2 linked regions of the Nothobranchius furzeri genome follow. The protein of the gene in region 1 interacts with the protein of each later gene in a pairwise test. Links are inferred from orthologs where the notes say so. Each region holds a gene or a part of one and is shown in the gene's direction. Other genes may lie near its edges.

Evidence for each region.
Region 2: the proteins of sec23b (region 1) and prrc1 interact in binary tests that used the Homo sapiens proteins (3 or more experiments, as listed by UniProt). The two-hybrid records come from large-scale screens. The link is inferred for Nothobranchius furzeri from reciprocal best matches to the Homo sapiens genes SEC23B and PRRC1.

Annotation. Positions count from the first base shown.
Region 1 is NC_091746.1:24,268,721-24,273,083, forward strand, and holds the start of sec23b (protein transport protein Sec23B), read left to right. Parts: upstream 1-1,502; 5' UTR 1,503-1,656; intron 1,657-3,377; 5' UTR 3,378-3,384; coding exon 3,385-3,605; intron 3,606-4,167; coding exon 4,168-4,225; intron 4,226-4,332; coding exon 4,333-4,363. UniProt on the Homo sapiens protein: Component of the coat protein complex II (COPII) which promotes the formation of transport vesicles from the endoplasmic reticulum (ER).
Region 2 is NC_091746.1:34,220,618-34,224,885, forward strand, and holds the start of prrc1 (protein PRRC1), read left to right. Parts: upstream 1-1,292; 5' UTR 1,293-1,395; intron 1,396-4,268. UniProt on the Homo sapiens protein: May act as a regulator of the protein kinase A (PKA) activity during embryonic development.

The DNA of each region.
Region 1 (4,363 bases):
ATACTTGGAGGTGCGTTACCGGGCGCTGCTCGCATCCGCTCCCTACCGACTGAAGGGTGGAAAACCGCTATCGCTTGGAAATCAGTGGCATAGTTTGGCCTCTTTGCTGCTCCCCCCACTCTCTCCCAGAGCAACAGCTGACGATGCCGGGGTGAGTGCAACACAGGCAGACCGGAAGATGCTGGACTCTGCTCACTGCATCATCCTCAGAGCACGAGAGGCTGAGTGCTGCCGGGTGCAAGGTGTGGTCCTGGTCCAGACTCTGAATCCAAATCCAAGTGTGGGGTCCTCCAGCAGAAGCACAGCTGGCGCTTAGAGGAGAAGCAGAGAGGAGATTCTTCTGGGCTCAAACAGAAACACACCGAGAGGAAGCAGCACTCCCGCTCTCTCCTCCTCTCTGCCTGCTCTCTCCCTCCAGAGGTTTGCCTCCCAATAAGCAAAGAGCTCTGTCACAGCGCCACCCAACGTTATGTTTCATTCCCACGAATCCATTGTGAATATTGGAATATTTTCTGGGAAATAAAACAATAAAGAAAATGTCATGGACTGCCAAGATGTGTCAGCCTATTCCAACTAGTCTTACTCAGCTGCAAAATAAAATTAATTCTACACTTAATAATATTTGTCTAAATCAAAAGTTGTCCAACTTGCCCACATTTCACAGGCTTGTCTTTGTAGGACACTCTGACGTCAGCACCACGGACAGCGAAAATCAAGTTAAAAATGGAAAATAACTGGGATCAACGTTCACTAATGGCTGTTGGAATTTGACATTTACAACTGAATTTTTCTGAATCCAAACTACTGACACGTGTCCTGATAAAGGCTTTGCAGAGTGTATTTTCTTTTGAAATCTCAAGTTTATTTTTAAATCCAGGCTACGGTTTATGTTGTGAATTTTTACAGTTTTGCTGATTTTAAATTTACATGTTTTGCACATGAAAAGCCCATTTAGACTCCTCTGTGTATAAATACGCTTTATGAAAAAGACATGATTAGCTTGCCTGTATTGGCAAGCAGTCTCTGTCCACTTTCAACACCATAAAGTCCCAAATTATGATAATAATATTATTATTAGTAGTAGCATTTGTATTATTATTATTATTATTATTATTATTATTATTATTATTATTATTATTATCATTAAGAGCCATCAAAGACACCCTGTAACTTTTTGAGACAAGGCCTATTTCTACTTTTATTGCAGGTATTTACAACAAGCCAATTACCACCGTCAGCAAATAAACAAGCAGATAAAAATAAACAAAGATTAAACCAGACTTATTATCAGGCCAACTGTACAAAACTGTTCACAGAGACGATGAAAACCCCTGGCTGAATATTTTATGCTCCCTTGCCGTTTACAACACAATAAACTCTATTTCCCAGAGGTCCGCGCTCACCTAGTTCCGCCTGACGTTCACTGTACGCTTGCGTCACGTGACGCAAGGCGGAGCCAATGGGAAAGTCCTGAACTCGTAGTAACACGTCACTCTAGTAAAGTGAAAAGCCGGCTGACAGGGAGCAGCTCGTTCACCGACGTCTTCCTCCCACTTACGCCCGTCTGGTTTCACCTTCAGATGCACTAATTCATCCTAAACACAACCGTCTCTTTAGCCGCCGTCTCGTGCCGAAGCCAGCTCGCTTTATAAGAAGGTAAGAGCTGGGTTTAGTTCAGGGGAAAGTAGGTCGCCCATTTTTAGCTTCCATTTGAGGACAGGAAGTGGGTTAATGCTACATTCCGTTAGCTAACTCAGCCCGATGCTCGCGCTGGCGTTACCTTGTCGCTAAAGCGAGACTTTGGGTGATTAATTACGATGTTTTAGCGAATATTAAAAAGAGGAATATACTATTTAACGAGAATTGCGACATTTGAGTGACTTGAGACGTGTCCCAACAGCACTGCTGCTTATCGGGGTTGATACGTGGCTCCTAGTTTGTGTTGTTGACCCGAGAGTCATCAGATTTTTGATCTGACTTGTAGCAGGGGCCTTTGTGTTCCCCTTTAAGAAATAAGAGGTTTGTTCATGACGTTAGTAGTGGTCAGCGGTTAGGATTGGTATTAAAGCAGTTTTCATTCTGCAGCAGCATCAATAGCATCGACCAACATCTGTTAACGAATCCAAATGGTCTTTATAAAACCCAGTCAGGAACCCTTTGTAGCGCAGCTTTCTGATGAACTCTGCGTTTATCTGTGTTCTGTAGTGCGACATTTGGGCTTGTGCAGTAACATATTAGGTTAAACTTAACAAGCAGCGTAAATAAGTCGCCAAGGGCTCTGGATATGTTGATTTGTGCTTCAGGGCTTTTATTGTATTTGAAATTGAGATGCTCTTTTCTGATTTTGTTTTCCTTTGACCTGCAGCTGTCACTGTTGAGCCCATATTCAATTTCAAATTCAATTCAAAAATACTTTACTAATCCCAGAGGGAAATTGATTAAAAAATTGATCCTGCCTTAATTGATCAAAAAATTGATTACATTCAGTAGAATGTATTTTTCACTATCAACTCTGAGAGGATGTTGTTTGCTGCTGCTTTAGGACGGTGTGTTCAGGGACAAAATCGACTAAACCAAATTTTTGAGTTTCAGAGTGTCAGGCAAAAGGTCATTTTCCTTTAGCTGCCGACTTTATGAGGTTTACAGTAACATTTTAATGAACTCTGTGTTATAATATATGCATAACCTGGTGTAAATGCAATGTTTTTATTAGATTTTTTAGGTTTTGACAGAAATATGTGGAGTTTAAGATCAAACCATCTGTTTTTAGGAAGAATTTGGCTCGTCTAACGTGGAACTTCAGTGGTATTGGAAATCAGAGATGACTATCAGCTGATTTTCTTCCTGCTGTCATTTTCCCATTCTATTTAAAACATTCCATTCTATAAATAGTTTTTCTCACCTCAGTTTTGTTTATTCATCTTTTTTTAAAGGGGGAGAAAAGGTCCGTGTCCCCCGTCAGAAGTGAGATTAAACTGTTTGTGCAGTTGCCTGGCGATGCTTTGCAAAAGGCGTCACTTAGGTGTAATGAGCACATACCGGCACAAGCATAGCCCGATTAAATACACCCGGCACACCCACTCATTTGTTTTAGGAATTCTCTACATCGTTCTTCCTCCTCACCAAAACCAGCCGAGCGGGTTTCCTGGCGGCGTGTTTGTGCGTCAGGCTTTCGGACATCCGCGTATTTCGTTCCCACTGAAGTGAACGGCTCACATGTATAAAGAGAGGATGTTCGCTTTAGTTGGAGAGAGAGAGAGTAGAGAGCCTGAAGAGGGACGCAGCACCGTAGCAGTTATCTGGGACACAGAAACTCCAAACTGGACTGTGGTTTTATTTATTTATTTATTTATTATTTAACCTTTTCTCTGCTGAAGATCGGTGATGTCGACGTACCAGGAGTTCATCCAACAAAACGAGGACCGAGATGGGGTGAGGTTCAGCTGGAACCTTTGGCCCTCCAGCCGCCTGGAGGCCACTAGGCTGGTGGTTCCCGTCTCCTGTCTCTTCACGCCTCTTAAGGAGAGGCCCAACCTGCCACCTGTTCAGTATGAGCCGGTTCTGTGCAGCCGGGCCACCTGCAAGGCTGTGCTCAACCCACTGTGGTGAGTTTCTCAGAGTTTTACGTGTCTATTAATAGCATAGATTTACTTTCATATTTAGCTTTTCATGCAGGAATATTGCAGCTTTCCCCCCAAATGATTTTATTTATAGTTAACGTTAAATGGACAACACAAACAAACTATAATGTATGGTTGTATAACTGCCTCAACATCGACACAAATATTCATCATTGCCATAATACACACACATACTGTAAATGTCTGTTTAGGAACTATTTTTAGTCTTTGTTGTGGTCCTCCTGTAAGTTCAGGTGACATCTATAATAAACAGGTTCTGGAGACGGAGTCTTTTGTAGGCGAAGTGCAGAAAACGGCTGTCGGGTCCAACTTTCCTCCAAAATAATGCAACACGTCTTTTGGCACCAAGTGCTTGTTTTAAACTCCTTAAAAAGATGATCTTTATATCTTTCAGTTCTTCTAAAACTGGTGATGCCGAGACTTTAGCTCTTTTGAATACTGAAGTTTAGGTACTGGGTGTGGATTATGAGGACGCACCTTTTCCACATCGCAGCAGACGATGAAACGTCTCTCTTTCTGTTTCCAGTCAGGTGGACTTCAGGGCTAAAATCTGGGCGTGCAACTTCTGCTTCCAGAGAAACCCTGTGAGTGTTTTCTGTGTGAAACGCCACCTTTATCAGTGCTGATGCGGAGGATCTGCTTTCCTTTATTAGGCTGGTTAAATCGGCTCCGTTTGTCTGTGTTTGTGCAGTTCCCGCCCTCTTATGCAGGCATATCGGAGG
Region 2 (4,268 bases), about 10 Mb from region 1:
GTCAAGCCTAGATCACACTGTGTTTTTCAGCTATCGCAAATGACTACTTCATGTCACACAGCTTTACAGAGGTGGAACAACTGACATGGCCCAAGATTTCAGTAAGTTCAACTCATTCACACAGTAATCCAACTGCACGATGTCTCACTTTAACCCTCCCACTGTCTTTATGGGAGACCCTGTGAGGAAAGTTGATCATTGAGCAGGATTTAAGTTTTATCCCTTTAGGTCCACATGGCAGGGGTGAGGGGTGCTCACTCCTCCTCACCCTGCTCAATGGTCAGCTTTCCTCGTGGGGTCACACCCATTAGGACAGTGAGAGGGCTAACAGGACATGCTAGGGGTTGTCAATTGCAGGCAGGGGTTTTAGGTTTTCTGAAAATGCTTGAAGAGCATTGGAGGCTTGATTTAGTCATGAGAGTACTCAATCGCTGTCGGTGTGCCGGTCACACTGGATGGCCATAGATTTACAAATCACTCTCATGGACATTATTTTTTAGTCATAATACAATTTACATGGAAAGATTTGTCTATGATAGCTGCAAAACGCACAATGTGAACTGGGCTTTAGTCAGAGACTCCAGACCAACTGAAGCGCTAAAAGAGCTCCTCTGTACAGTTTCTCTCAGGACACGATCACATAAAGTTTTAATGTGAACTGAAATGTTCAATCACCAGGTTATATGTTGAGTCATAAAATGACCTCCTGGGTCATTGGGTGAGATCATCTGACCTTGTTGCTCCACACAGGTAACCTTTATGACATATTCCTGTAAAACCAACAACAGAGTAATTATACACAGAAACATGGATTAAATCTGTTTTGTATATCGAAGAGTGTTTTTTTTTCCCCCATTGTACCGGTTTGTTCTGTCCTTAAGCAACTTTAAAAAACCAGAAATATCCTGTTTTCTCTGGAACCCTAAAGTCTCTCGAAACCTAGACTGAGTAAGAAAACCTGTTAAATTTATTTATTTGAAACTCATTCTCCAAAACTAAACGTGTTGTATTTAATACACTTGCTAGTCCAAACCAAATATCCATAGAGGGACAGTTTATATTTTACAGTAGAAGCCGATCATGTCAAATAGAAATCTACACCTCCATTTAATCAGATGTTACATAAAATACCATAAATAATCTTTGTTATTGATCAAACGTTTGATTGAATTATCCTTGCAGATTACATGAACAAATTAGTGAGGCTGATTCAGTAGGTGGGCTGATTAATTTACCTGGCCAACATGGCACCGTCTTCGTCGTGTGAAGGAGTCGCAGGTCAGACTCCTCCCACTGGCGGGTCAGTAGGAGGAGTCTGGAGAGCAGACGTGGCAAAGCAGAACGTCACCATCACGCGCCGGTGGTTGACTCTACATGGTGGAACAAAGATAGCTGGTAAGTTCTGGTTCTGGGTTCTGATGTTGAAGAGAGGAACACGTTAGTGTGTCAGCTCTCCGCCATGCTGACAGTTAGACGAGCTGGTGGGGTAAAGCCACAGTGTAGCCTCTGCTGTGGACAGGGTGCTAGTGGTCCTGATGGTGCTGGTTCGGACCGATGCGTTCCTGATGGTGGTTCTAGAACTCGTCTCCATATTAAAAACCCAGATCAGACATTTACACGATCTGTGTAGTCTGTAGAAAGCTTTAGATTAAAACATGGAGTCTATAGAGGAATTCGTTTATGCCCCTAGGAAACAAAAGCAAAGTGATCTGAGCTGTCATGCGTATTTAAAGGTATTAAGAGTGGCTGTCTGTAGTGGTCCTGATGGCCCTGTTCTTGGTGGTGATCCTCATGGAGATAGATGTGATGGTGGAGGATTTAAGTCAGTTAAGCAGAAGGTTCTGGTGTGTGTGAATTGTGGTTTTCACAGAGTTAGCTGCTTCAGTGTTTTTCATCTTTTAGTCAGTTGTTTCTGTCATGTATTGAAGTATAATCACTAACACTTTGAAAGGCTTTGATTACATCTAGTTTAAGAGTTCAAGAGTCGGTGTTTGCAGTGTTGGCTCTTCCTCTGTAGTTGGCCCTGACACGCTTTCAATCAGCTTCTGGACCAGATCCTTTCCTTCCATAATCAGGGCCTGGAGTTAGTCACAGTTAGTGTGTTTTTGTTTGTCCACCTGCCTCTGGAGGGTTGATCACAAGTTCTCAACTGGATTAAGGTCTGAGGATTTTCCTGGTCATGGACCCAAAATTTCTGTTTTTATTTGAACATTGTAGGTGTGTTCTTGCTGTGTCGTATCTCTAATTCCATGCTGTATTTCTTTTTTAAAACACAGAGCAGTTTTGTTTACCTGTTTTCCCGCTACGTTTCGTTTGCGGCTGCAAACTTCCTCAGGCTGACGCTGATGATGGCGTCACTTACTTCTCCGTTTATCCGCGGGCAGCAGAGGACGTTGTCATACGTTGTGACATACTCATCTAACGTGACGTCACATCCCTGTTCACAAAAACACCAACCAAAAAAACCTTTGACATAGTAGTTAACAGAGTCAGACAGGACAAGACTTTACACTAAAGAACAAACCTCACAGCAGATGACATAGCACAACTGATAGGACTGGTAGCTAACTCCACTTACTTCACATATGACAACACAATATACAAACAACAGGAAGGCTTTGCCATGGGTAACCCGTTATCAGCCACCCTGTGTGAGTTTTTCATGGAAGACCTAGAACAAAAAGCCATAGCCACTGCTCCCCCAAACTGCTAAATAAAACTATGGAAACACCACGTAGACGACATACTGGAAATTATACCAAAAGGACAAACCGAAACACTAACACAACACTTGAGTAACATTGACGACACAGGCAGCATAATGTTCACTTATGAGACAGAAAAAGAAGGCAGCATAGCATTTATGGACATGAAAATCACCAGGCAGACCGACGGGACCCCAAATATAAACACATATAGGAAACCAACACACACAGACCAATATCTATTATGGACATCAGAACACCCCACCATACACAAAATGTCAGTAATCAGAACATTATATCACTGAGCAAACATAATAACAGAAGAAAGAGACTGTAAACAAGAGGACAAACACATACAACACACTTTAAAGACCTGCGGATACCCGACATGGGTGATAAACAAAGGAAAACAGCAAACAACAACAGAAAGAAAAGAACAAGCTAAGCAAAGAACCAGAAACCCAGAAAAACAACAACCAAAACCAGTGGTAACCCTACCATACATCAAAGACATAACAGAAAAAGTAAGACCAACAATGAAAAAACACAACATAAACACACCAACAAAACCATACACAACAGTTAGAAACAGACAGGTACACCCAAAAGACAAAATATCAGCTGGACTTAAATGTGGAGTCGTTTATGAAATCCCATGCAAACTCTGCAATAACACATACATAGGAGAAACCGGACGCCAACTCAACACAAGAACAATAGAACATAGAAAGGAGTGCGAGAAAGAGGCAAGTCGAAGATACACAAGAGCAGCAAGACAAGAAGCAGAAAGCACAATAAAGAAGTCAGCCGTAACAGATCACTGCACAAGAGAAAACCATATAATGGACTGGGACAACACACGGATCATTAACACCGAACAACAAAAATACAAAAGATGGATAAAAGAAGTAATCGAGATAAGGAGACGTGGATGTGGGACCAAGAACAGAGACGATGGGGTTTACACGTTGGACCGCACATGGGACTGCATCGTCGGAGAGGGGAGAGCGGGCAGCAGAGGGCGACAACATCCTCTGCTGCCCGTGGATAAATGGAGAAGGAAGTGACGCCACCATCAGCGTCAGCCTGAGGAAGTCTGCAGCCGCAGACGAAACGTAGCGGGAAAACAGGTAAACAAAAACTGTTCTGTGTTTTTAAAAAAGAACGTAAGCATGGAATTTCTGTTTTTAGCTTCATCGCTTTAGTTTTATGGCACGGTGCTCCATCATGCTTCACCAGGTTGTTCTTGGATGGTTGGAAGAAGTTCCAGTTGGATGTTTTGGTACATTTCTTTATTGATGACTGATGGGAGTGCTCACCTTATCTTCTGCAGACCATCCTTTCTCCAGATGCCTTAAACAACCAGAAAAGAGCTTCATGTTACCCCAGTCCTCTGCAGCCCACTCACTGTTGTTTCTGTAGTGGCTTCTTTCTGCCCTTCTTGACACCAGGACATCCTCCAGAAGTCTCCTCTCTGTGCTGCAGATGCACTCCCACCTGCTGCTGCTGTTCCTGAGCAGCTCTGCACTGGTGGCACCTCGATCCTGCCGCTGAATCCTCTTT